Lepisosteus oculatus: one gene and its partners. The protein of the gene in region 2 interacts with the protein of the main gene of each other region in a pairwise test. Links are inferred from orthologs where the notes say so. Each region holds a gene or a part of one and is shown on either strand. Other genes may lie near its edges.

What was found.
Region 1: the proteins of bend7 (region 2) and ppp1r37 interact in binary tests that used the Homo sapiens proteins (3 or more experiments, as listed by UniProt). The two-hybrid records come from large-scale screens. The link is inferred for Lepisosteus oculatus from reciprocal best matches to the Homo sapiens genes BEND7 and PPP1R37.
Region 3: the proteins of bend7 (region 2) and lyar interact in binary tests that used the Homo sapiens proteins (3 or more experiments, as listed by UniProt). The two-hybrid records come from large-scale screens. The link is inferred for Lepisosteus oculatus from reciprocal best matches to the Homo sapiens genes BEND7 and LYAR.
Region 4: the proteins of bend7 (region 2) and eaf1 interact in binary tests that used the Homo sapiens proteins (3 or more experiments, as listed by UniProt). The two-hybrid records come from large-scale screens. The link is inferred for Lepisosteus oculatus from reciprocal best matches to the Homo sapiens genes BEND7 and EAF1.

The regions. Positions count from the first base shown.
Region 1 is NC_090698.1:1,061,380-1,068,384, forward strand, and holds the start of ppp1r37 (protein phosphatase 1 regulatory subunit 37), read left to right. Parts: upstream 1-4,005; 5' UTR 4,006-5,189; coding exon 5,190-5,805; intron 5,806-7,005. UniProt on the Homo sapiens protein: Inhibits phosphatase activity of protein phosphatase 1 (PP1) complexes.
Region 2 is NC_090702.1:14,200,341-14,207,561, reverse strand, and holds the start of bend7 (BEN domain-containing protein 7), read left to right. Parts: upstream 1-4,201; 5' UTR 4,202-4,497; coding exon 4,498-4,627; intron 4,628-5,773; coding exon 5,774-5,851; intron 5,852-7,221. Other genes in the region: prpf18 (pre-mRNA-splicing factor 18), read right to left, coding at 280-384, 1,788-1,814, 3,023-3,100, 3,502-3,567.
Region 3 is NC_090696.1:43,715,832-43,723,769, forward strand, and holds the start of lyar (cell growth-regulating nucleolar protein), read left to right. Parts: upstream 1-4,913; 5' UTR 4,914-5,006; intron 5,007-5,223; 5' UTR 5,224-5,283; coding exon 5,284-5,405; intron 5,406-6,366; coding exon 6,367-6,481; intron 6,482-7,755; coding exon 7,756-7,863; intron 7,864-7,938. Other genes in the region: zbtb49 (zinc finger and BTB domain-containing protein 49), read right to left, coding at 1,748-2,883, 3,093-3,244. UniProt on the Homo sapiens protein: Plays a role in the maintenance of the appropriate processing of 47S/45S pre-rRNA to 32S/30S pre-rRNAs and their subsequent processing to produce 18S and 28S rRNAs. Also acts at the level of transcription regulation.
Region 4 is NC_090705.1:41,671,507-41,678,517, reverse strand, and holds the start of eaf1 (ELL-associated factor 1), read left to right. Parts: upstream 1-4,006; 5' UTR 4,007-4,160; coding exon 4,161-4,260; intron 4,261-5,235; coding exon 5,236-5,330; intron 5,331-5,652; coding exon 5,653-5,789; intron 5,790-5,980; coding exon 5,981-6,147; intron 6,148-7,011. Other genes in the region: tRNA N(3)-methylcytidine methyltransferase METTL6, read right to left, coding at 1-160, 1,370-1,504, 2,848-3,186. UniProt on the Homo sapiens protein: Acts as a transcriptional transactivator of ELL and ELL2 elongation activities.

The DNA of each region.
Region 1 (7,005 bases), on a different chromosome or scaffold from region 2:
AACAAACGCTAACAGTGACTCAATTGATCCTTAATTCACCTGGTGCAGCAGCGTCTCTCACCTCTGCCTGTTCTGCTGTGTAGGAGGGCTGCTCTCCAGTGGGGGGTAAGTGGGCTCCTTCATGTATTGCAGAGCTCTGTCTATATAAGATCACTTTATTGGCCATATACAATTTCTATCATTAGGAATTTGTCTTTCCACATACCCCAGCTTTCTGGAAAAGTCCTGGACAACTTTCCCCCCGGCCTTTACCAGTCATGGCCTCCTAATGATCCTCATCTCTGAACTGGCTTCATCACTCTGCTCTCCTCCCACTGAGAGCTGGTATGTGGGGAGAGTACTGGTGCATCATCCAGGTGGGGCTGCACACTGGTGAGGCTGGAGGGGATCCCCATTACCTGTAAAGTGCTTTGAGTGGAGTGTCCAGCAAAGCACTATATACAGGTAAGTGCAAGCAATTATTATTTATATATGTTATTTTAACAATTAATGAAAGCAACAGTAACAGAAACAAAATGACATAAAATCTTAGTATTGTAGTATAGTATGGGGTCTGCAGAAGGGTAGTTCTATTAATTTTTAAAGTGTGTGGCATGGGTTAAGAGAGACTTAAGACTGCGTAGAAAAGCTGGGCACGGTCATGCCGCGGGTGCCGTGTGGAAGCAGAAAACGGCGCCGCTGCTTGAGAACGCCGCCCTCTAGCGGTCGATGCTGGTGCTGTGTGCGACGCTAAACACATTTAAAAAAATGTTCCCATAATCGATTCCTTTTTGAATACACAAATCCTGTTACTTCACGGCGGAAGCTCACGTACAAACAGCTGTTTCGTTTGACATCTTAGACAAAGAAATTCGCAGACTGTGACTTCAGGAATCGCACAGCTAAGGACGCAGCGACAATTTTTCCTAAAAAAAACCCTCCCCCGCTTAATTCGCCATCCGAAGGGCTACCCCATCCCACTGTTAACACCAATATAGCGCTGTCGGGTTCACGCGCCCTCGCCACTGCCGCCTCCGGTTGACCCCCCACCGCTCTAGGGACTCGAACCCGGACCTCCAGCGTCACTCCACAGGGACCCAGCCTCTTGAGCCAAAGGGAAATCTCCCGTTAGCCCGGCGGCTGCGGTCTCTGCTCTCCACAGGGAAGGGCGGTGACGTCACCGCGCTGGTAAGACGGCTCGCACAGCCTGCAATGTCGGCGGTCTGCGTTACAATAATAATGAGAAGAAGAACTTGGTATTTACTATTTGTACTGAACTCAAGGACACTGTACATAGTCATAAATAATAAAAAAAACAAAAAAGTAAAGGATAGTAAAATATAAAAACAAGAAATTACATTAAATAGGATCACCAGACGTCTTTTTCCCCCTAAATCTCCGTCCGGGCGGAGACATATTCCCTTATTCTTTTTCCCCAGTGATGTTCGAATCGAAATGGCTCTTGTACAAATATCTACCGATACAAATATCAGCAGAACCACAGCCCATCCCCCGTTGACAGGGGATTTTATTTTTAATTTAGTAAACATTTAAAACAGAATAACTTAGATGGTGGCTCCTCCACAGCTGAGTGACCAGTAACAAAACTCGACTAGTCTTTACAATTATTCGAAATATGATCTATTTAATAATTATTTACTTGTGAATAAAAAGGGGAGAAATATATGTTCAATACTGGAGTCAAAACTAACTTTTAACCATTTAACTAAGGCCAACTAAAAAATATTGTCAATAAAGTACCTCACAGTTTCAGGCAATCGGGTATTCCTGCGTGTTATTGAATGCCAGCCGGAGGGTCTTTACTGGGCAGACACGGTAATTAGGAATTCAACTTCATGACCTTCCCAGTGCCGTATTTCAGGGAAGGAGGACCGGAGCTCTCAACAAGCCCCACTTCAAACCCAGAGTTGTTGAACTCCTGAAGGGTGAGCGACGCGCCGTTTTCCACATTAAGGCTTGGTTAGGCTCGGCTGAGGTGAACAAAAGTGAGAAAAATATATCTGAGGGCCACCAATTTCTGTCTGTTGTTCCTTTTTTCAACCCTAGTCATGCCCCCCTTACAATTCTTTAAGTTAGGGAAATAACGGAAAATTACAATAAAGCAGGACACAACCTTTTTTGTCCTTCTGATCACTCAGTCGCATTTTTGCTGACCGCCAGCAACAGCTACATTAAGGGTGAAAACAGCAAAACAAATGAAAGGCCTATGAGCTGATACACCGCGGAGATCCAGGGACTGAGACAGGCTTCGCAGGTTCTGCTCTTCATTGTGCAAGTCTTACAGCTGGCGGAGACAGGCAACCCCTCCCAAGACACCCAGGTACCGCACCCCAGTCATCCCAAAACACAAGCGCCACAGCGTCGTAAACACAAATAGACCCAGTGTGCCGGCATAACATGAACCATATTAAAATGTGCTGCAGATATCCGTTTAGTATTACCACCTTCTATAATGCTACCTTCACACATGTTTAACAGATCTATGAAATTTGACTAATAAAGACTTTAAACAGGGAGAAACGTATTATTTAATATCTTCGAGGGAAAACTGTCGACCTTTGGGTAATACAAGTTGCTGCACTCTGAAAAACTGTTTTCATTACACAATTTATTCACACCATTACAACACAAGACTCCCAGAGATCACTAATATAACAAAATAGCTACTGACACAGAATTTAAAATGTAACAGAAAAAAAAGATTAAAAAACATTATATAAAATATTTACTGTTGTGAATTTAGCAATTATTAATGATTTAGGAGTCATTAATAACACAAGTCAGACATTAATTTGAGTTGACAATATGATTCAATAAAACCTTACTCTTTGATTTTTCAGAATTTAGTTTTGCATCCAAGCAGCTGTTTTACACATTGACAGGCTTACAGGAAACATATTAGTAGTACAAATAAACTTACATTAAAAATAATTGTAACATTACATTAAAGACATCAAACCATACATAGTCATTGCACATCCTTCCTACAGGAATCCACAGAGTTTTCCAGAACCTGTGAGTTTACTCCCCTTGTACCCTAAGCCTCTATAATTGCACATGACCCCTTCATTTTGCACATACCCACTGAGTTTAGCACACATTGATCCTCTGGAAAACGAATAACTTGCAGAAGCTTTTCTTCTAATTCTGTTTCCAGCTTCCTTATGGCTAAAATGACAGGCCGATTCCACGTCTCCACTCAAAGCGCTTTACAAGTAATGTGGTGGTGGAGGGGATCCCCATGACCTGTAAAGCGCTTTGAGTGGAGTGTCCAGCAAAGCGCTATATAAGTGTAAGCAATTATTATTATTATTTATATTTAAGAGGAGCATTTTAGAAAGATGCTTTGGGAGGTTCAGTTCCCAAATAAATTCCAGTACATCAGAGAAAACAAGACACACACACACAAATCAACCATATTTATAAATGAAGGCAAATAAAGCATCCCTTATGTTTCAACTTTGAGAAGAAAACATTTTCTTGGGGAAAAGGATCAGAGGAATGCGTTTTGTTGCTTGAAGTTCTAATTTATATTGTGCAAAACTGCTCAATTGTTTAAATGATTGTACGTTTACAGATAATACATGCGAAGAATTTCCTAACACTTAAGAAAAACGTTAAAAATCACTGATGAGCGATAAATCAAACCACAAGCAAGCAGCACTTTCTTTAACACACGTTATGAAATCCTACTACACACCAAAGCAGCAGATTCAATAGATTGAGTTGCAACGATATTAGAGGAGAACTATATTATTAACCAAAACAAATACAACACTGAAGTACAACAATTTATTTAGAATAATAGTCGATTTTTATTCCAGATGTGTTTTTCATTTTGCATGATGTTTAACGCTCTAGCGGTAACGAATGTGCTTTTACTAAGTGTCGAATTCGTCAGCATCATCACGGCAATCAATGGAAAACAAAACAGTTGTTGGGTAAATGTAGAAAAATCTTAATCTGTAGATTCGCTTTCAATGTCTTTAAAAGTTATTTGATTTAGGTGGAAGAAAAGACAAAAAAAAGTTTAACCGGTGAGTTTGAAAGAAAACGACTTTTTAAAACGAGTTTATTGTTAGGCAGTGTTTAAATCGCCACTTAATAGTTACCTGCCTTCTCCGGTGCTTACTGTCGAAACTGCTGCTCCGAAAAGTCAAGCTGTCGTTTTCCAAGCGGAGGTTTGAGAAGCTGATGTGTTTCTGGCGAGAGACGTATCGCTTCTTTAAGACACAAGGCGGAGGGTGGAAAACAGAAAAGGAGCCGAAACTATCGGAGAGAAAGATGTCACCCGAAACAAGCTTCTCGACCGAGTCTTAGAAAGGGGAATGGGACCGTCCTGGCTAAACAATGCTAGTTGGGGGCACGACTTGGGCGATTTGAAAAATAATCGTTGACGGAGCTTTTCCTGCTAACAAAAGACGTAAATAAAACACGAGCGAGAGGAATATGGGGAGGTAGGCGCCCGTCGAGGAGAGAAGTTTGTTTTCTTGTGGAAACGAGTGAATACAGGCGAGAGGGCGATGTGAAGAGCAGCGGAGTCAACATGATCCCCACTTGATGCAGCCGGAGTCATCAGCCGCGGGCTGTCCGAGCGAGAGCGGCGACGTGTTCGTCTACCCCGAGAGACGTAGACGCAGCTGTATTTCAAACCGTGTCCAAGTGTAAAGATTCACAGAAGCCCATCCATATTTAAGCATTTCATTAGAGAACATAAACGACTGTTCTTGGATAAAGAGTTAATATATAGCTGAATGTTTAGGTGCTGCAGGCTGTGTTTAAAACTATATAAATATTATGATTACTGTTGGGCAAGACAGGGGCAGAACGTCAGCAGGACCTGAGATTACTTCACAAGTTTGAACTACTGATTCATCGCGGTGATTAAATACTCCCGCCATAGTGCATCTGTTGCAGGAAAAATCCAGGAAAAAAGAAAGGCGACTAGTCGGATACTCAAACACTAGAACAAGCCACTACCTTTGGCCGGACAGCGAGGTGCAGTTGGTCTGCAGGTGGTTCCTGTCATGTGTTTGTAGTTTACAAACAAAACAACCGATCTTAGTGTGGGCTTCACCTAACCGGGAGTGTTTACACCCTTTTTAAAGATACTGTTTATTCAAATCCTGTAAACGCTGGGGTAGGTGTTTTGCAGTTTTCGTCCGTTCTAGCTTGGTAGAAATGAGAAAATGAACAGCGAGGCGCAGGATCTAGAGTTGAGCAATGGGAAAGCGAAGAAATCCGCTGGCGAGCAGGCAGACTGCGCAGAAATCATCCCCCGACTCAGCCTGCGGGAGGTGGACACAGCCGGGCGAGTGGTAGAGGGGGAGACCGCACTGGAGGTGGTGGATGGGGGGGGCGAAGAAGAGGTAAACGGGGACGACAGAAATGGGGTTCAGGTACCCCAGACGGCCGGGACTGATCTGGATTACGGCCCAGCAGACGAGCTTGTAGCGGCCCAAGGGCTTGGTGCCACTGGGGATGATGCACAAGCTGGCGTGGATTTGGCATTGGAGGACGGGCAGTGGCCAGAACCGGGCCCTGTGCAGCCCGAAGGGGGCCCGGGAGACAGGGACATTGTGTCCACTGATCCAGATGTGGCTTCGGAGTGCCCAGCGAGCCTAGGGACCCCACCCTCGACACCGGGGGCTGCTGAGTGCGCGCCCCTTCAGGTGGGGGCCGGTGTGCCCCCCTCACCGCCGGATGAGCACGAGAAGCTGAAACACGGGGTGAAAAGGGTGACTTTCCCCTCAGATGAGGACATCGTATCCGGAGCTGTGGAGCCCAAGGACCCCTGGAGGCATGGTAAATACCGTCCTTCCGCTGGCACCTGAGTTCCTGCCACTGTGTCTTGCTGTTTCGTGTCCAGCCCTGTCTGCTCTCATGACAGCACAGCGGCTGCGCTGTTAGACCAGATGGCACATCCTGAATTCCAGGCCTCTCATCTAGTGGCGGGTCAGATGTGAGATTTCAGGCTGATGGTGGTGAATGTGTTTTTCTTCTGCTCAAGATCCTGTAACAGTAGCTTGTCAAGTTGCAGGTCTGCTAAACTTCATGTGCTCTTTTTCCTTCGCAAAGACATGTCTCGGGTTTTAAAGATTTTAAAAAAGTGATTGATTGGAAAATAGATGTGCCTAGAAGGAGTGGAGTGTCTTGTGCTAGTAGTGTCCTCACACAGTCCTTGTTAGTGGAGTAGTAGCAGACACGCATGCCATGAAAACAGCCGTTACCTTCCCACAAATTTCCAGTTCTTCAAGCCAGGCCCTGCTTCATCCCTCCTGTGGTTGATGGGTTCCGGGCCACCCTGTGTGACCCCGAGCCCCAGAAGCATGTGTTCTGCAGTGTGTCACAGACAGAAGCTCTCGCACTGTGCGCTGGCCAAGACTGCCATTTGAAAATTACCTCCCTTTGTCCTTCTGATATTGTTTACGTTGGGCTGCCAGCGGAGCTCTGAGTGACGTCACAGAACCCGGTGCAGCTGTCTGCGCTGCGTCCGCCCCGTGAGATGCCACCTTAGGGGTCAGCGGGTCTCTCTGGGGAATGGTTATGTGCCGCTGTGCAGCGAAGTCCTTCTTTATGCTGCCAAGCCTGTTTACTACCTGCTTGGAGGGAGAGCTGTACAGGATGAAGTTAACATGTTTTCCAAATCTCCATATTAAACCTACAGGACCAGGGCAACACGACTCTGGTTTATGTCGTCAGCTTTGTCTTTCCTCCTGCGTTTTCTTGCTTGTTGCACAGCTAGCTGTGATCCAGTGTGTCCTGTGTGGACCTCTGGGGTTGTTTTTCAGCTCGACTAATTTGCCGTGTTCACAGCTCTGAGGAAATTAGTTTCCATCTAAACCCACTGGAGAAGCCATGCAGCTCTGCCAGCCTGTCGCACCCCTGCTCACCTTTCAGCTCCTCATCGGTGCTGGCAGAGGAGATGCCAAGCAAACATCCTCTTGTTTGTAGCCATTCTTGTGCAGACAGAAGTTAAATGTTAGGGACAAATCATGAGATAAC
Region 2 (7,221 bases):
GAAAGCTCTTAGATTTTGCAGAGACTCCAATTTGTAAGTCTCCATGGACTTTCCAAAGTGGAAGCGAAAGTGGGTGGACTAGGATGATATCCATGACAGGATTCTGGGTATTTGTGGCCTTTGCAGAGGAGAAACAGTGCATCTGGGAACACCTTTCACCAAATTAGTTTAGAAAAAAGCTAAGCACATGCACAGACATCTGAACACAAGCATGTTCTGTACAACACACTTTGCCTTGAGAAGGGCACAGCATCTTCTGCACTGTTGCATGAGGCTTACCTCCTGTCGTGAAAGCGTCATGGGCAGCTTCTCTTCAGTTAGTTCAAGTTCCAATACAGGATTGGAGGAGGTCGATGGTTCAGGCTCATCTTCTTTTCGCTGCAACTTTAAATTAAAACCAAATTGAAGATCCCATGCTTAACAAGATACTGTAAATGTAAAGATTATATGAGCAATTTGTTACTTTTTATTTTGTAATATATTTAATTAAATAACTTTCCTTTCCAAAGGGCCACTGACATTGATAATGCATACAAAATACATACTAACAAGTCGACTGCTTACAACATTAAATAGCCTCAATATTTTATGTTGATGCTTCTTATAAACACTTAATATATATAACACCTCACTACTTCAGAAAAAAAAGAGAACAAAGGTGCTTTAATATTTTAAAAAACGCACTGAACAACGCCATCTACTTGAAAAGTATTTCAACACTGCACAACAGAAATTAATTTGAGACAATACTTGCATGGGAATCTATCAAGATTCTAAAAACAGAGAAAAAACTGGGTCAATTAGGGAAAGCACTGATCCTCAGTTAGATGATCCGGAGTATAGCACTGGGTTCCAGAACACAGAACTTGTCTTAAACATATAATTAAATTGCATGCAACACCTCTCAACAGCTATTTAATAAACCAACGTGACGTTAAGTTAATCATTCATGACAAATATAAACTAAACATGTACTGTAACACGAATTAGTAAGGTGACACTTTACAGGTTCTTTTGTAAGTCTTTAGATTCTTGCTCCCACAATGTTACTATCCCCGCTTCTCATAGTGACACTTGCCTATACTCTGCAAATAAAGTACTTATTAATGGTGCAAATTAATACTTTAAAAAGGACAGTTAAGCAAACAACTCCGGCTGCCTTGAAAAAAGGAAACCACCATGCTACAAGACACTCTTTATTTTTCCTGAACAGATGCAGAAAACAAGGAAAGTGTTTTCAATGCTTGTTCACTAGTACTCCATTATTTTAAAAAATACATAAGTGTATTTTTTTAAATAATTCAATTTGAATCATGCTTTCAGAAGCACATGCACTTTTCCCAATTACAGCTAGCAGTACAAAAAGAGGTAGTTGTAAAAAAAGATAACAGGCAATTTAAGGGATCTCTCAGAAGCACCGCAATATCTGCTAAAAAGCAACAGACTATTATTGAAAGGGGGAATTTTTTACTTGGAGCTAAGATTTTTTTTTTATAAAAGGTCACTAATATTTGTGATCCATATCTAAAACAAAAGGGTGAGTTTAAAATATCTTAAACTGTGAATATTAAACTGTCCAGAATAACTGAAGTTAGTTCCACCCTATGAATTTTTTAGTTTCAAACTGGTGCAGCCAAGACTTATTTTCTTCTGCTCAAAACAATTTCACAGTTTGCTAGTTCATGCTGTAAGCAAAAGAAAATGCAAGAAAAAAAAATCAATGTGTTTCAGCATGCCCAATTTTGCTCTACAGCAGGGACAAATCTTTGCCCTCTTTAATCCCATACCTTTCCTGCTGGCTTCTCATTAACAACCTACAGTGCAATGCAGACAGGATGGAAGAGCAGCATTAGATGTTATAAAGACAGGGTCTGAAGAACAAGCCAAAAAAATCACTAAGAAAGCCAGAGAACCTTTATAGAAAGCACTGTATTCATATGTGCAAAATATTCTAATATACATATAAACACATGATTGGAATCAGAAAAAAAGCTGTAACGAGCTGATAGGCCAAAAAAAGTTCTGGTTTGCAAACATACACCATGCATAACTACTGGATAACTGTTGGAATTTGAAAATAAAGTACGGATTTGATCATTTTACATTTAATTGATATTCTGGGTTAACACTGTGATTGTACAGATCAAGACAAGCTAAAGAGAAGCAAATGTACACAGACATCATTAATGTCCAAAAGAAAAGAATAACAAGTCTGTACTTTAAAAGAGATCTAAAATCCGATAAACAGAAGCCGGTATGTTGGAACCTAAGGGTGATTCACTAAAAGCATCAGGTGTCATACAACCTAAGCCAAATGTATTTAGATCCTCTAGGTCAGTGACCATCCATCCACACCTGAGATCTCATGAAGTGCAAAGACGACAGACAGGCAGTTTTTCAAAACTTTGGCAATTTACCACACAAAGAATATGACCCGGACTGAATCAATCTTCCTGAGATTGTCACTATAAACACATTTCTCCCTAATCTAAAGACTGTATAGCTGTACACTAGACCTCCAATCCTTGTTTGTTTTGGCCATTTTTTAGAGTGCATGTATTTGGCAAATAATGAAGTCCACTGATTTGAAGGAATATTTCCCTAAGGAATAAATGATTAAACTTGTATGGTTTGTCATATACTGTATTTTATCTTATTTTTCCATGGAATTTCAGAATGTGAAGAAAATATTATTCATAAAGTATGATCTCCTTGCATAAGATAAAAGGTCACTGTACAAAATAAAGTCCTGCTACCATTTAGCTGTGCTGCTCTTGACTCCAAGATAGAGAGGAGTAGTTGCACTTTGGTTTTCTACTTATTCACAGAGAGTCTCTCTGCGGTTTTGCGTTTAAATGAACCCAGTTTCCGACTTACATCCTAGTGCCTAAGTTGCCAATTAACTGTGCTCACTCACAGCATGTGCAACTGTTCTGGCCCGATCTAACGCCTAAAATTCACACAGGGAAACACCTGTATAAGGCTATCCGAATACAAATCTATAAATATGTCAGCACTGTACCTTATAACCACATCTTTCATAATAGGATTCTTCTTCTTTTCGGGCAAGCTCGCTGCGTTTAAAGAATTTCTTTGACTCCTGCAATACAAGAGTTGACGTTATGGCACTCAACATTATTTAAGTATTTAGTTTAATATCTCATGAAAGGTAGCAGTCCACTGGACGTCCATGCACTGATTTAACATTTCGAATTGGACAGAAACAAGCAAAAAATAAACTTCGTGTTTAAATACTACAGACTTATTAAAATGCTGTCGACAGCTTCGGATATAACAGTAAATCCCATGGAAAGGGTCTCTTAATGTTACTTAGTCCTTTACTGTGATATTGGTATACTAGACAGCGTTTTGTAAACACACAAATATCCATAAGTATAAAGCAGGTTATCGTTGCGGGTAACACCGAGTGATAGACGGTAAAAAAAAGTCATTTAAACCATCATAAAATTGAATATTTTCCATTGGACACCGGTAACTCACACCAACAAGCTCCTTTTCTTCGAGGAGCTTCCTTTTCCTCGCTATTTCAGCTTTTAAAATATCCATGATGTGATAGCATGTAACACAAACTCCTTCGGTGTTGTTAAAAAAAAACACACAAAACAGGAAGCAATTCTCCAACACTTCCGTCGGTTTTTATACGGTGAAAGGTCAAGGGGCGGTGTCAAGATACACAGATGCTGCCAGAAGCCGAAACCTCTGGAATAAAAAACCTCGACAGGTCATTGGTGTTGGTACCTCCCTTATGCAGATCTCTCTCATTGTTAATGAGAACAGTGCTTGTCCACACAATCACATGACCCATACGCTTTTACCTAATGATTAAATATGCATAAATTGTGGTACTGGCACTGGTTCGAAGCATATTTGACATTAATTAATTGTATCGTACTAAGGTGCTATAAGTCATCGATCTCTGCTATTCTTAAATTATTCAAAATGTATTATTACTATTACTACTATTAACTTTTCGTGAAACAGACTTGAAATAAAAAAATTGTGATTAATATATATATATAATAGTATTGTGCTTTCCTAACCATTTGACTAGTTTAAACAAAGGTGAACAGACCGTATAACAAGGACACCGAGAGGGGCTGAGATACTTTACCCCATTTCCTCAGTAAAAAGTCAACTAGCCTTAGCCTCAAACCATTCATTCTGTGTGTGGGTAACCAGGTGATGAACATCTAGCCTACAAAACAATTCCATCAGGTGGCGCAAAGGAATATGGAAAATATAAGTACACCGATTCATCTTTTTGTAATACAAACGGATTCGCTCTAAAATAATAAATAAAGATCAATCGATTACTAGTACAAAATGTTTTATTCAAGAGCTGTAATTAACACGGTTAATTTTCAAAACCATTAAGGGCGTATAAACGCGAGGCTAAGCAGTTGGAACTGAAATACTGTAATGAGCAGGAGTTTTTGCTGATTACAGAGACGGACCCCGGTCCTGCTGTTTATTCTGATGTACTACACGCTGGAGTTCTGCTTTAGATTTCATTCCCTGGTCTTTATCGCACAGATACCAATAATGGAGTTTTCTGAAAGGAAAAGGAGCAGAAAATCCCAAAGCTTCAAACTGATTAACGAAGAAGGTAAGGCAGGGAATTTATCTTGTCACGATTCGTCTGCAGTCGCTCCTTTGGGTATTGTATAAACAAAAAGGTTAAAATGAAATAACCCTTGTTAAAGAACACGGAATGCACCTGCAACGTTTGTTTAGTTGAAAGGAGATTATTGTCCATCAATAGAAACACAGTATACATAGACATTATTTAATATATTTGTCACATGGGGTATACACAACGGAAGAATAAACTAATGCTCGAAGAATGCATTATATATGTGGTTGTTTTCATGAGGAGTAGGTAGTCTGAAAGGCACACTGACAAACCGACGGATATCACTGAACTTGTATTTTCTGTCATTAGATTACAAATTTATAAAAAGTGCATTTGTTCGAGTGTATATTCATTATGAAAATTTGCGTTAAACAATTCTGTTGCGCATGAGAATGAAATAATATCAGCAATATCAATATTGGCTTAACGTGATCTGTAGTAGTTTAGTTTGGTTTGATTTGATGCCAAGTTTGAGCCTGAGAACTAGACTATTTTATATTCCACCTACAGGTGGTAGAACCTAACAGCGTGCAGTGTGCAGGAAACTAAACAGGCAGGTCCAGTCCTGCCTACAATAGTCTTCATTCCGCTAAATAGTCGTGCACATTCACTACAGTGTAAAGACAGACAGCGAAATATTTCCTAGGTCCCATTATACAGAATATTGTTTACGTTTTTCTGGGATTTGATACTCTTCCTACATTAGTAATATGAGAGTTAGATTTTCCAAGAGCAGTTGTTTCAAGGTTCATTTTAAAGAATGTTTTAAAATTTGGCAAATTTGTTCTTTCAACGATACTGACTTTATGAAGTAAATGCTTCAAACATCATACATATAAATATGTTGGTGATGTCTTGTGTGAAGCTCTCATTTAAAGCATAATAGCTTAATAGTGAGAGTTATCCTCTAAGAGCCTGTCTTTTAGAGAGTATGTGTCAAAGAGATGGATAGAAAGGAGGGAAACCTTGAACTATTAATTCTTGAAAACAATTATGATTAATTATTTCCTTCCTCTTTGACAAAATGATGATATGATTTGTATAAAATATTCAGATGTATTTTGCTGTATCATCTGAACCTTGGTGGGTAATCCATGGTAATATTCCTTGTCTTTCCAGATTACGAAGCAGAATACTTTGCAAGCAGTAACACCCTTGATGCAAACGGGGAAATAAATGATACAAAAATGGCTGAAGGTACATTGTTTATTTCTTATTGAATAAACAGGCAAGGATTATGATAACATTAATCTTGAAGATACGTTCAGCTCTTGCTAAAGATATATATATATAGTTTATGCTGTATAAGTAATATTATTTTTCTGTGATGAGTACTTTTAGCTCAGTGTGTTGGTCAGGATTTGTCTTATTTTGTCTTGCAGCATGGTTACTAGCAGACATCCCATTTATTTCAAGTCACATGGCATTATCACAGTGTCTTTAAGATAGATTGTTTTTTCTTTGTTTGGTCATGTGTATTGTAAAATACAGTCAATTTTTTCCATTTGACAATTGTACTGTATCTGCATAGCATAGCACAGACAGAACAGTATATTGCAGTAAAAGTCAAACAACCATACAGTAGTACTATTGAAGCAGAGTGCTGGGATGTGGATTCTAGCATAACTGAAATTTAAATTTTGGAGACAGAAAAAATTGAAAACTGCTTTTAATAATGTTACAATATGAATGCCATATCCTATTATTTCACAGATTTATGGACATGCCAGAAATGTTCATTTCTTTCCATCGTGTTCTTCTATTCATGGTTTATGGTTTATTTGGTTGCTGTGAGGATACCAAAAGGTATATTCTAAGTAACATGCCTGTATTTTTTTCTTTTTGCTGCTTATGTCCAGAAAAGTTTTGAAATTTCTAAATTTACAACTCGCCAAACTCAACTTTGAGATGTCAGCTCACATGGAACAGCATATAGGGTAACCATTCTGATCCTAGTAGTGATTGAGTAATATTCACTGAATATACAAGAAGAATCTAAGAAACTTTGCAAACCAGAGAAGTCAATTTAGCCCATCTAGTTAGTCTCCAACACTGTAACTAACCAGCTCTCATACAGCAATGCCTTTGTCCTGCTCACTGTCATGTAGAAATTGTGTAGCCAATACAATATGTTTTCCTACTTCTGTAATTGCTTCGCATCTGCATTACCTTGGATTAAATTGCAAAATAGTTAATAATGATAATAACAGAAGTAGTTATACTAGTTAATGATAATAACAGAATAACAAATGACAGAGGTCAAGTTGAATATTACGCAAATGGGAGAAATGGGAGGAAAGCTGCCACCTTAAGAATTAGGGTACATTTCAGGTGCATTAAGGTGGATTGAAGAATTAATGGTTGCATTAAGATGAGGGCCATTAAGCTATCTGATGAAGGATCACACCTTAACAGGTGTAACAGTCTGTTAAGGTGTGATTATCAAACTGCAGCTAGTCAATGTCTTGAAAATAGGTGTAGTTGAAATGGGTTGCTAATTAAATTAACAGGTTAAGATTATGTCCCATAATGCAGACACTGTTGCATTAAATCAGGGTTATGCTATT
Region 3 (7,938 bases), on a different chromosome or scaffold from region 2:
AATGATGTGCAATGTTTTTCTTTGTTATTTTTTTGTAATAGTATAATGTGTAATGTTTTTCTTCTCTTTTTTTGCATTCTATTTAAATGTACAGTAGTGCTGGGTGTCCATAAAAAAAATTCCCTCACTGGACAATAAAATCTTATCTTATTATAAAAATCAAGATGTGATTTGCTTGGACTTTTAGTAGTCTAATTTTTGACCATTGAACAGGTCAACATAGTTCAAACTTCTTTATATTTTATAGAAATTATGTAAAAAATGCACATAATATATATGTTCCTTTGAATCACAGATCATGTCTTTTGAATATTTTATGTTTTAAATAAGTCTGTATTAAATGTTTTGTGGTACTTTTTTTCCCAGTAATGGAAAAATAAAAACACTAATGCAAGTTCATCAAGATGAGTCATTTCTCATCCCCCCCCAGAAGCCTGGCATGCTAGAGTTTCCCTGCTGACATTCCAGAAATCTTTTCATCTTCTGAAAAGCACACATCACTGAAGAAATAAACACAAAGACCAAACACCAACCTCTACCCTTCGCACTGCAGCCTTTCTGCAATCACACAAAATACACAGCACACCTTTCTATTCCTGACAAGATAAAGGGTCCCTTTTCATTTACTCTTCTACTTTGAATGTACCAGATGACATTTTCCTCAGGTCTCACCCAGTCCAAATCCTAACACATTACAATGACACTAGCACCTTGCATTTAAAGAGGACATAACCAGATTTGGGGTGGTATGGTGGGGCAGTGGTTAGCATTGCTGCCTTGCAGCACTGGAGCCCTGGGTTCAATTCCTGAGGTGCTGTCTAGGTGGAGATAGTTGTGCGCATTACATTTGTATGGGGTTCCTCCCACAGTCCAAAGACATACTGGTTGGTTAACTGGCTTCTGGGAAAATTGGCCCTGAGCTGGTGTGAGTGTGTGCATGTTTGTGATTGTGTGTGCATTGCTTTGGACTGGCGACCTGTCCGGGATCTATCCTGCCTTGTGCCTCTTGCTTGCCAGGAAAGGCTCTGACTGCCACCCAGCCCTGTACTGGATAAAGCAATTAGAAAATGGATAGATGGATAACCAGATTTGTGCCCGATAAAGTCCTGCTGTTTCCAGTCTCAATGGAATCTCAATGGAAATTCACTTCCTTCTTGTCCCTTATAATTGAGCTTTTCTGTGCAGTTCACAAACAGAAATCACAATGAAACTCAGGGGCTATCAAGTTGGCTGACCCATTCAAACAACTGTCTTGTTTAAAAAGTACACTGTAAAGAAATGAAAATTTGGTAAACTTCTAAATAAAATCAATTCTGCCTTTCACTTCTTGCTTGCTGGGACAGCCTCCGGCTTCCCTGCAACCCTGTATTGGATAAAGTGAGTAGAAAATGGATGGATGGATAAATAAGATCATAGGATCACTTCACCCTGGCAATATCTGAACAAATCAGGCGGAAAAGATATCATCAACATCAACAAGAGGGAATACAGTGTGTTCCTGGGATGTAAAACAGCCAGCGCACCTCCCCTGCGAGCACCCAGTGGAATTATACTCCAAGTGCAAAGTGTTCCCCATTGTCCTATTTGTATTTGTATAACAACAGTTCACTTCTGCATGGAGCACTGTTCTCATGACACAGTTGTCAGAAAAGGCCAACTTTAAAAGCACCTTGCCTGTCGGCATGTGCAGTTCATAAAGTTTCTGTAAAAAACAACAACAACAGAGCACCATTTGACGCCCAATTACCTGTGTGTGACCTCTTATGGAGCTCCAGATTGCTGGGATGTTTGAATGTCTTTCCGCACATCTCACAACAATATTGCTTCTGGTAGTTTTGGAGGTGGGCAGCATCTGCCGTGCCAGCTGCCGGGTTGTGCTCAGGCTCGTCCAGCTGTGCGAGCGAGGCGCTTGGAAGCTGCAAACACGGCGCGGGGGCAGCTTTACTTTCCTTTTCTGCACTGTGGCTGTCAGCGGAATGGTCGTTAGCCCCCTTGCCCCTGGGCTCAGACTGATTTGTCTCTTTCGGGGCGCTGTCAGCTATCCCGTCCGCCTGTAAAACAGACTCCTCCAAAGCCTTCTGGGATCTCAGGTAGTCGTATTTCTTAAGGTACACTGCCTTTTTTGGTCGAACCTGCCTATTAATTGGAGAGCCCTCACCTGCAGAGCTCTGACTTGCATTGTGCTCCACTGCTGGAGACATGACAAAACTAGACCCCAAGGATCCTGCTGACTCAGACACACAATGTGCCGTGTTGACAGCTGACACAGGCATATCCACTGGAGGGTTTGTGTCTGTAACACTGGAAGAAAAGTGCTCCCCTACCACAGTACTATGAGGTGGATTTACAGCCCCATTCAGAGCTGCATTTTGTTTAAAATACTGTTTGCTGTAAAAGTTTCGCAGCTTATAACCATGACTCAACTGCTTATCTGGGATCACTGAAGCACCACTCAGTGGTTCAAAGGCCGGGGTTTGCAAATGTGTCTGTGGTCTTCTGGAAAGATCAATGTCTGTAGTGGCACACGCAGGTTTCTGAGCCTCAGAGGAGCCGTGCAACTCCATCTCAGGAGACAAACTGGCCCCAAGTATGCATTCAGTATCTGTTGCCAAAACACCTGGTAATGAGAATGAGGAACTACCAGGGAGGCTTCCCGATGCTTCTATGGCTGGAGTGTATGGTTTCAGGAAATTATTGCACATATTGAGCACATTTGGTATTTGGAGACACTGAGCCATTTCTAACATTCCCTGAACATTGTCCTGGTTCAGATCAAGATGGGACGTATACATGAAATCCAGAATTTGCCCAATTCCTCCTACATCTTTAATGTCAAGATGAAAAACATCAGTTTTCTGACCGGGTGAGTTTTGAAATAAGGACCTGGAGAAAAAAACAACAACAACAACAACAAAAAATGTATTCATAAAGTTGGAATATTACTTACTGTAGCTTTTTTTAAAACCCAGGATTTAGAGTTTTTTAAACATTTCATTCCAATTTAACAATGAAATTACCAACATATGCATAATACAAAGTGCTCAGCCATATATATTCAGCATTACTGAATGTTTTAGCGCTAGTAAACTTACCTAAAATATGAACTGAAGGCAGCCAAGACATTTTTGTGGGCCTTAAAACAGACTCCCTTGACAACCAGCATGCAGTCACACAGAAAGCCCTGGATACGCTGCTCTTGGAGCTGCTGAAGTAGGTAAGAGCTGTGACTGGACAGAGACTCCATGCTCAACCTTCATTCCATAGCTCACCCGTAGAACCAGGACCATTCTCATCAGGTTTCACATACATGACTAGGCTGTTGAGCAAAAAAACAAAGTATGAGTGCACATACCCTGCAAGTTACAATTATAAGGACAACTGTAGTAGAAGGAATAACAGTTCCTCTCATTTATATACAGATTTTCATCCCATACGAAACTAAAACACTTAACATACAAAAGGGGAACTACTTCATTCACCTCACCTGGGTGACGAGACCGCCATTTAAATCTTAAGGAAACTATAAAAAAAGCAATTCTTTTAACACAGAAGCTTCTGAATGAGTTAGAGGGAGCGTGTAGCCCGAGCTACAGTGGCCAAGTACGATATGAATCGAACGACTGTGTAGTATGCACCAGGGTGCAATGTGAGGGACATTGAAAGAAAAGGCACCGTTTCATCTTAATGGAGAGCACAAAATGTGAAATATCAGAAATCAAGTACAGCTTCAAGATTTCAGCTGCAGCGAAATGGTTTTGCGTCTGTGACTCTTCATCTGAAAGTGTCACAGCAGTTTTGGTTAATTTCACCGCACGTGTTCGGCCACTAAACAACACAACACACAGCCACACTTGACCCAAGTGGCTGCTTTCTTTCTGCCTGCAGAAAAACCACGCAAGCTACGGCGCCTTTATCTCATTTCAGTATCCCCAGATATAAAAACTGAAGAGACCTGCCAAGACAAAAATAGGCCCAGCATAGAACAACAGGCAAATAAATTAGTGCTCAAATATATAAAACAGACAATAAAACACGTATATATCAGGTTCTGTAGCACACTTACAGAACCTCAGAACAGGTTACATATTAAACAAAGCACAGTTTAATTCAGTGATATGTTTTAAAAAAATACCTTCTTTCCCGTTTTGTTTGGATGATCAGTCACCACGTCCTCTTGAACCTTTACCTCACTTCCGCAACAAACTGTGATCGAAATCGCCACCTAGCGGTTAGAGATAAAATAATGATGTGGGGATAAAAAGGTGTGTTGATTTTTGTTTTTTATTTTGGTTAGATACTATTGATTTAAGGGAGTGGTCCAAAGTAAATTATGCACTTTCAAAATAGTAAAGGCACTCCCTTTAGTGGCTTTAAAACCTATCACGAATACGGATTTTTCACTGTTCTGTGCCCGAGCTAAGTCTGTTGTTACGGTTCCCTTCTGATTTTTTTAAGTTTAAACTGTTAATAACACCAAGCCCTCATTTTCTAGTATAATGAATATAAGCAATTAACACAGTTTTGCGGGTCATGTGAACTCAGGAGGACACAATTTTTCCAGTTCCACTCTACACGAATCCTGAATGGCAAGTCTGGAATCCTCTTCCTGGAAATCTCATTTAGGAACAAAAGTGTTTTGCCACTGAGCAACTTTCTGTTTAATATATTTCCGGAAAACGTATATTATCAAAGGGATTTAGGTTTTGCCCGCGATAATTATTCAGTATATACAATATGACAATAACCCATTATCGTTTTTAGTCTTTTTTTAACTTTGTTGAAAGTTTATTTTGTACATTCTTATTGCCACTTGAACGTATTACACTAATATTGTGTCAATACTATAAGACTAAGTAAAAATTTCGATTTATTCTTCGACCGATATCAACAAGATTATATTCAAAACTAATCCAGAGCACTTTTGGGAACATCAATTTGGGTGCGGTGTTCCCACGGAATGTAAATAGTGTAACACTGCTTATCCGGAACACGTGAAGTTGCTCTAGGTATGTTCAAGTGATCTGTAAATTCGGACGTTTAAAACAGTAAATGATTATGTAGTTTTAATTTCGTATACATGTACACGAACGGTTTAATTAAAGTAAAAATATCAACATTGCAGTACTGTGTTTTCACTAGGAAATCTTTAATACAGAGAATTTAAAATTTTAAGATTTTTCATTTACCCTAGTCGCTGTCACGTGTTTTTTTTTATGGTTCCAGGGTCGCAAAGATCTGATTGGGGAATATTATTTTTGTGTTCCAAATTCGAAGTATTTCAGGATGGTTTTCTTCACCTGCAATGCATGTGGAGAATCATTAAAGAGGGCACAAGTAGATAAACACCTGAATATTTGTCGGCACTGTCAGTGTTTGTCGTGTATTGACTGTGGTAAGGATTTCTGGTGAGTATCTTTTAAGGTCCAAAATATGTTACTTTAAGGTCTTTTAAGGTCCAAAATATGTTACTTCCCAGATTCGTTTTTTTCTTTTTCTGCTGGAAGGGTGGAATTAATGTAGTTTGCAGTGTGTGCGTGCGGAACGTTGCCTTCGTTAAGGATCACTCATTGAAAGCCACTAAATAACAAATCGAAGTTAATTTTTATTTTATAATCCGCATAAAATAGGTTTACTATTATTGTATTTCATCCTAGTTAATTGAGAACGAAAAAAAATAATACCGCTTACTATCAAGAGGAAGCCGTTTGGTTCCTAACGGTTAAGTGATCTAGGGATCTCATCCACATGTTTCTTGAAAAAATCCAGGTTTGTTCCTACTCGTTGTTGAAAGAAGTGACTCCTGTTCTCAGTTTTAAATGAACTTCTGCATACTTTTCACTTGTTACCTTTGGTTTATGGTTAAATGTTTTCAAATTACTTTGTTAACGCCTTAGAGAATTTCCAATATCAGAACCAAGTTTCCCTTTTTCTATATTTTATCCAAGACTAAAAAGAAACAGCTGTTCTTTTGGCAGTACATTCATTCACTTAAAAGAATCAGACTCCTCTTTGAAATGAGCAGTAATATTAATTTTTCTATTCTGGTAAACAAAATTGTATGTGATATGCTGAATGTCTTACTAGTGCATTGTACAATTTTAATATAAAACCCCTTGAATTCATTTAATTTTAATAAGATGATTTTAGTTATGTAACCTAGCATTGTTTGTTTTTTTACTGTTTCCCTACTTTGGTTTGATGAGTCTTGTATACACAAAAGTCATACAAGACTCTATCCCGTTTAAGTCTGTATTAATATTTCTACCTTAAAAATATTTGAAATATTAACAGTATCCTTGTAGGAAATGATAATCTTCAACACATTTAATGGATTATAATGCATTTGTTGTTGTTTTTTTGCTACAGGGGAGAAGACTATAAAACGCACCTTAAATGCATCAGTGAAGATCAGAAATACGGAGGCAAAAGCTATGAAGCCAAGAGTAACAAGGGAGATGTGAAACAGCAGCAGTGGATTCAGGTAGATCAGTGTTGTCACTTCTTCAGGACTACATCAGACTTCTCGATATTTGTTCATAGGGCATGAAAGTCTGCTGCAACCTAATTTTATCATCATGATAGATCTGATGTATATTGAAAATGCAGCTTGAAAATTTTGTACTATCATAGATAAATGTTTTATAAAACTGTAAATCACGTCTGTTTTTATATTTCAAATTAAGTATTTTTTGTCACTAGGCGGGTGAGAAAAAGAATCATTGATGTCTTTTATTATAGAATAAAACACTAAACTAAGTGTTTTGTTTTAGAAAACAGAGCAGTATAAAATCTATGTGCTCTGTAATTTAGTATTCTGTTTTTAATTGTAAACCTAAAACCCGTCTTCTTACTGTCGTCTATGTCTGAGTGTATTATGAATTGTTTTGTGTGTTCTTGTTTGTATTTTTATCATTATGTACAGCATCCTTGGGTTTGGACTGAATCTGAATAGTTGTAAACAAATGTCATTATCATTCAGGTTATGTGAAATTAAAAAGTTTTAGCATTTTGACATTTTTAACTGGATATTGTTTTCCCTGAAAGTTTAATCATGTAAAATATTTATGTGTTGGGATGCAACTGTCCTGCACTTTTGTTTTATTTTTTTAAGGTTGAGTGGGCAATTATTTTTATTAATAAAAAAACAAGTTGAATTGCACTGACCCCTGTATCCACATGGACAAAAAATAGGCCCCCTGTCTTGCTATTCAACTTTTGACACATTACAACGACATTGAGTACTGATTGACAGTAATATATACACATCTCTGCCATCACCCCAGACCTGCCAGCATCCAGGAAATCACTGTGGTTGCTTTTTTACTGGGAGCTAAGAGAGTTCTGGCTGAGCAGTCTAAACCCTCTATTGCCACCATGTGGTCAATCCTGGTCAGCATTAAGCAATTGGCTCAAGCACAGCCTGTGGTTGGAATGAGCACTATTACCTTGTTGAGCCACTCAAGGGGCCCATTCAGCACATTTCCCAACTGTCTTTGAGCAATTATTTGCTAAACTTGGAAAAAATGATTTCAGATAATTTCAGCATGTGAATTTAGGGAAAATGGAAAGTGCTTTTGGAACTCAAGGGTAAGTGTTCAAAGCCTCTTTTGTAATGTTAGTAATGTTTCTCATGATTTACTTTTCATATCGTTCAGGCTCCTGAATGTTTTGTTGTTCACAATTCTTACACGGTTATCGTAAATATTCTCACGAGAAATAACTGCCTGTAATATTTATGAGAATAATCTGTTGTAGAAAATCCATGAAGCAGTGAATAAACCAGGAATCAGTCCAAAATTACGTGAGGTGCTGTCCCAAGTGAGCTCCTACGACAATGTTCCAAGAAAAAAAGGAAAGTTTCAGGTAAGTGAACTGGTTTGCTTGTCTGTTATTCCAAATGTGATATAATGATATTATGTGATATTATGCTGTTCTTTA
Region 4 (7,011 bases), on a different chromosome or scaffold from region 2:
TTTCAAGGGCCAGGCGCATTCTGTCTGGGTGTATAGCAGACAGCACGAATATGAGGGTGGCAGCATTCACACTTTCCAGTGGGATATTCTTTGACAACTCATCCTTGGTCAGGTCACACTGGAAAGCCTCGCATCTCTCGGCGTTGTACAAGGGGTTTTGCTGAATTAAAACAGTGGCATCAAACAGATACATTATAATAGACTAGAAAAACACGATCTCACACTAAGCCATATTTAATATATTCAAAGGAACAAGTTATAGGGGTGAGGAACACCCGAAGAACACCCAAATCCTTCCACCTGAAGAAGGCTCCACAGCCGAAACATTGTGTTTTCTTTCTTCTCCTTTCAGCATGGAATAAACCTATTACTTGTTCCTTTGCAGCCTACACATGCTGACGCAGCTCTCCACCTGAACTACTTTAAAACATTCAGATGGTTTACTGATAAACATTGTACATTATCATGCTTCAAAAGAGTCTGAGCACAATGGGAGTATAGTGCTTTTTATGATACATCATTTCAAAGTGCATTACAAAAATAATTAAGACAACTGTACACAAATGAGTACAGTAAAAATAAAAAAGTGAGTTTTAAGACAGTATTTGAAGGTGTTGAGTGACTTGCAAGATCTGATATTAGCTGGGAGATCATTACAAATGCTTGGAGCAACAGAACAGAAAACATGGCCTCCCAGTGTTCAGAGCTTTGTTCTGTGAACTGAGATAAAGACAGACTCCAAAGAGTGTGTATGCCACATCCGTACAGGGAGTTAAAAATGCACTGCTGAAGTCAGAAGTAAACTCATTCCTTGATGAGAAGCAGTATTTTCAGTCTTATTCTGAGATTGTTCAGGTGGGTAGCTGCGTCAGCTTGCGTAGTCTGTAGTCCTTAATTTATTCAAGCTTTATGCATCTTGAATATCTGACAGTTTGTACACATTTTGTTAACTGCAAAACATTATCACCTGTGACTATGTCATGCTGACGACCATGTGATATAACAATGTTTTAGATCATTACCTAATTAAACCCGCATTGCGTACAGTGCAGGGAAACGCACACTTCTTACAATGAATCCCATCTTAATTTGGCACTTAGCAGGAAAGACAAAATAATTGCAATTTTTACAGTGTGGCCTTGATGCTGAGGCATTCCAGCACTTCACAAAACTAAAAACAGGACAAATCTCAAAGACAAATTAACAAAAACCACATAACAATGCATTAAAACATTTTCAGGTTAAATTAAAAAATAAATAAAGGTTTCCACATTTAATATGTCCAATTGACATTCATTGTCTGAACTGCCAGTGGGTTCTGAATCAGCAAAAAATATAAGACTATAAATATTTCTTCCAGTTTACTTACTTTCACAAACTCCACTGCCCTTGGGGAAAAGTCACAAGCATACACAAAGATATTGAGATCTTCTTCCAACAGTGGGAATATACAATTTCCAACTCCACAGCCAGCTTCTAACAGGATCAGTTTTTGAGCCTCAAACTGAAACACACAAATGTTAATAGGAATATAAATACTGACGTTTTTAGTTTTCAATGAATTTTGTGGGGAAAAAAATACTTTGCCTCATTGGCTGCTCATGAATACCACATTAAGAGATGGTAACTTTACACTGAAGGATAGAAGGCATAAGATTTCTACAATTTCCATAAACCAAAACCAAAACCATATGGCATTTATTACAGGCCCAACAAAGCCAATAATGTAAATTAACCTTCCTTGTCATTCTACATTGACTGAATTAATATTCTGAAACGGAACAACCAGGAATTGTCAATACACATGACCTCAATGAGTCTGCCTTATCAGTCTTAAGGACAAGTTCTAAAATGGATCTTTTACAAAGACAAAAGTATGTAATGATATATATGCAATGATTTACAAGTTGAATAAACCTATAATGTGGTAGTCAATTGTCCTCCACTTTATGCTTAATTATCAATCCAATCTTCAACTGGGGTAAATAAACAATTCAGAAGCAATTAATTGGAAGGTTTAAAGTTCTGTAATGGGACGCAAGGCTGACTACCCCTACACTCCAAGCATCTCACTTTACTTTGATGAAGATCAGGGTTGAACACACAAGGAACAATTAAAACGCAGCATCAAACTTCGAGCTGATATTATTGCTTTGGCCTCAAGGACACAAAGCTGATCAACATATTTGTGTTCTCTCGAATTGACTGCTGTAATGCTCTACTCGCTGGGGTACAAACTCCTGTATGTCCAAAATTCAGCAGCCAGAATCCTGACCAGGTCTAGAGCAAGTGATCATATTACTCCTATCCTGGAGTCCTTGCACTGGCTTCCTGTCAAATTCCGTGTGGACTTTAAAATCCTCATGCTCACCTATAAGGCTCTGCTTGGCTTGGCACCTCAGTACCTGTCTGAACTATTATCGCCCTACTCCCCACCTCGCAACCTTCGCTCTTCTAATTGTGCCCTCCTTACTGTCCCCCAAGCCCATCTACATTGTATGGGTGACAGGGCCTTCTCCTGTTATGCCCCCAAGCTCTGGAACTCTCTCCCTAAGGATATCAGAGAGTCACCTTCTCTAAACTCCTTTAAATCCAGACTCAAAACCTTCTTCTTTAGAAGAGCCTTTAGTTAACTGGTTCCATTCTTTACCCCTCTGCTTCTGCTTTTCATAGTTCCACCATCCACAGTCTCCTCTGTATATTGTAATTGTGTTTTATCTTGTGTATTCTTTTTATTTATTGTTGTTGCCATTCTGTAAAGTGCTTTGAGAAGCCACCTTTAAAGGCGCCATATAAAATGGAGTTTATTATTATATTGTTATAAGGACACAAATCCACCTGCCATACCTCTCTGCACGCTTGGAGCTCCTCAAACTCTCTTGTGGTCCAGTGCCTGTCTTTGAAAAAGTTTGTACTGTTTCTTTTGTAGAACAAGTCCCAGTTTCTCTGTGCCTCCTTCTCGAGCTTCTGCTGTTTGAAGTCCGACACTAAACATTGGTCTCCTTTCAGTTTCGCCCTCTCCTCCGGTGACAGAGCCCTTGCACAGTGTTCCTTTCTCTGGAATACTGCCGCAGACACCTCAGAGTCCGCAAGCCCAGCTAACTGTGTCCCAGTTGAAGGACTTGCACTGTCGCCTTGTGGACCGCAGGCATCTTCAGAGTCTATGCCCTCCATCCTAAGTGGCATACAGAGTTTTTTTTTTTGCACAAACTACAAAAAAAAATAAAAATAAAACCGAAGGAAACAGAAATTTGCAACACAAAAACAAAAAAAAAACAGCTAATCGTTCTATCGCAAAGACTCAATTGAACTTGAAGAAAACAAAACACATACAGTGTGCAACTGCATTTTCTAAAATTATGGGAATGAATGGGTTACCCGTATAAAATAATCTTAAAATTGTACGCAGTATTAAACGTGTCAAATTCTTACACGTGCCTCAGTTAACCAGTCGTATTTTGAAAGCAACTGTACGAACGGGGACGCAACATTTGCTTTTTTGCTCCATAATAGTTATTTTGTACAGTTACTCCATATAACATATTTTAAACATGAATGCGTAAAAACTGAGGTCCAACTATTCCAGTTAAAATTCCACCCGGAATATTACAACTAAAACATCCTTTCCGTCGATTAATTTAATCCGTGTTAAACCAACTAAAAATATTGCGTTCCTGCATTATTTTGATTGATGATTTTGCAAAAAAAAACTTGTTGTTTATATTGTATTGCTGTAATTCAGTTTACTTTATTTCCGTATTACAGTTGCAGTACTTTTCCCGTGTTATGGATATGAAACTGAATAATTAAATTGTCTTTGTAGGTAAATGTTCAAAATTGGTTTTTTGTGCAACGCACTCGCAATTAGATTATACAAACACAAATCATGAAGATGTTCAAGTTTTTAAAAATTGCCTTTATTATCAGTTAATTCTCATGACGTTGAAACTTCCAGTTTTCCAGTTTGGTCTCGATGTTGTCATCGGCGACATTTGTGTGTCGGACACAAACAGGAAGAGGAGTGTTTGTTATGCTCGGCCTCCTGCAACTGGGAATCCTACAATCTGGTTTTATGTCCCACGACTTTTTTTAAACGTGTGTGCCGCTGCATGTTTTATTTATTTTTTTATTAATGTGAATCGGACATTGAAACTGGAAACATGAATGGGAGTTCTAACCCGTTGTTAGACAAAGAGCATGTCCTGAAGCTCGGAGAGAGCTTTGAAAAGCGTCCGAAATCATCATTTCACACCATCAGGTGTAAGTGTGAAACTTTTACGTTTATTCACAATAATCCTGTTGTTAACACACGAAGTCTCAGCAACGTTTTAGACGTTATAAAGGCTCTAAATGTTGTTTACTTGTGGGGCTAATTACACGTATGTGCAGTGATAATACCTATCTTGGGGAACGGAAAGGTTAGGGAGTAAAATTAGTACGCTGTGAATTCAGAAAGGGATTTCTTTGGTGGCTCCTCGTGAATTTAGAACGTCTAAAAGTTGGAATCCTGATTTTTTGTCATTTTCAGAGCATAAGTATATTGGGTAAGAAGGTAAGATGTAAACATGATAGAATATTTTTTTTTAATTATACTCCTTTCTTTATGGGCTGTATTGTTAAATAAGGAGAATGATCTCCATGGATATGATTTTATAATTATTGTATTTACTAATCAGTTAAACTCGACCAAGGCAGCTGTGTGATGTGATTCTAGAAAGGAGTGTAGGTTCAAACCCTGAACGTGATGCTGCTGTTGTACCTTTGAGCAAGGTGTTTCACCCACAGTTACTCCAGCCAATACCCTGCATACAGATGAGCGCACTACAGGTGTACTCTGGATAACTGAAGACTTATACACAGTCTCAGATAACAGCTACTGGCTGTAAAGGCTTGGTGCTACTGTATGTGTGTTCTGAACCTGGGCTTCTGTCTTGGTGGAGTTTGCATGTTCCCCCTGCTCATGTGGGTTTCCTCTGGGTATTGTGGGGAAACCGGCACAGGTGCGAGCATGTGTGTCTGTGATCTGCGATGAACTGGTGTCCCACCCAGGGTGTGCCCTGCCTCGCACCCCTTGCTGGCTGGGATCGGCTCCGGCTTCCCCGTTACAAGATGGATGGGTGGTGTGATGGGGCGAGGAGAAAGGTTTTCTTTCTTTGGTGCGAGAAACGTTTTGGAATGAAAGTGCAAACATCGCAGATGGCTGTCAGAATTCATTCCGCATCCTGTGCTCCCCAGATGACTTTAAACCAGCGTCCATCGACACATCTTGCGAAGGGGAGCTCCAAGTAGGCAAAGGAGATGAAGTCACTATCACTCTACCTCACATTCCGGTAAAGCCCAGTCTTCACCATGGCTCATCAGGCTACAGACCTAAAATGTAGTTTGTAGTGGTCGTTAGTGGTTAATTTAATGCATGGCTGCTGATTCCAGATCTCTTGATTCTAAAATGAATTTCTTTTTCTTAAACTGATCTCTAGAAGTCGGTAAAGTTGTAAATTATTAACTTTTTACTGAAAAATTGAAATTATGTCAAAACTTGGGAGAGTCTTACTTTAAAATATTGATGTAGAATAGAATTTATTACGGTGTGTATAACATTTTCTAAATTAAAGTTGTGTTGTTGTTGTTGTGGGGTTTTTTTCCCATTTCAAGGGCTCCACACCACCAATGACTGTGTTCAAAGGTAACAAAAGACCATATCAAAAAGACTGCGTGCTGATCATCAACCATGACACAGGGGAGTTCATGCTGGAGAAACTCAGCAGCAGCATACAAGTGAAGAAAACCAGGTAAGAGCCATGTAACAAAATATACAGTGCCCGAAAAGACGTTAAACAGTTAATTCATAATGCACCTCAAAGCCAAATGTCGAAGTGTTTTGTTTAAAGAGCAGATAACACTCTTGCTTACAGTGTACCGTGACGGCAAATTAAATTATTCTGTGCTGTTGTGTTTAAATCATCTTGCTGTTCGGTTTCAGAGCGGAAGGCAGCAGTAAAATACAGGCAAGAATAGAACAGCAGTCAGTACGGGCAACTCAGCCTCCCGCACAGTTCAGAGCTCCGACCAAGCCTGGCGTCGGGGCTAAAACCTCCCCTACTAAAGACAACCCCTCCCCCGAGCCCCAGCTGGATGACATTAAGAGAGGTAGGTGCCCATTGAAGATTCTGTATTGTAACCTTTATTTGCAGGATTAGCCAAAAACAATTTATCCGTTGGGCAGGTGGGTCCTTCATGATCAGTGGCCACAACACAAAAGAGTTTCCTTTTTCAGGATTGTTTGCCTGTTCTCTGATACAAACTCTGATAAAGCCTTTGGGGTTACAGATTGGGCTGCAGTCACTCAGCACATAGGCACTGGGCTCGAACCCGGACTGAAATGCCTTCTGTCTGCAGTGACTGTGTGTTCACCTCAGGTGGTCACGGGTTTGTGCTGCTTTGTCGGGGTTAATTAATGCGTAGGGATGTGTCTTGCATTAAAAAATTGTGGATATTGCTGTGCAAAAAATAAATAAATTGATCCAGCAATGAGGACAAAAAGTGTGACCATACTCTAAGGCTCTGTAGTCACCCACTCAAGCTGTATCGGCAGTTTGACTGTCGAAGTCCAGAGAGGGCCTGTCAGCCACACCCTGCTACATGAATACCAGTGCTTGAAAAGAAACATCTAACTAAAGGGAAACAATGCTGTTCATTCTTGTCCACATTGCCTCATCCTAGAAATCTGGGCAGGGCAGGGCAGGGCAGACCCCCCTGTCCCCAGCTGCAGGCTCCGGCTCCTCCCCCTCTTGAGTATCTCAATATACTGTCTGATCACTGCAGTCCTGTCCCAGAGTCTGGTTCATGTGTGCACTAACAGTCTGCGTATATACATTTGTTCATTACTGAGACAAACGTGCTGAAGGGAAGGTGATCTATTATTATCTTAGAAGGTGAGTAATACCAGGACTTTTTTTACTCATAGATTCCTGTTTCTCAAGGGAATATAGAAGAGCAGCACTCAGGTGTACG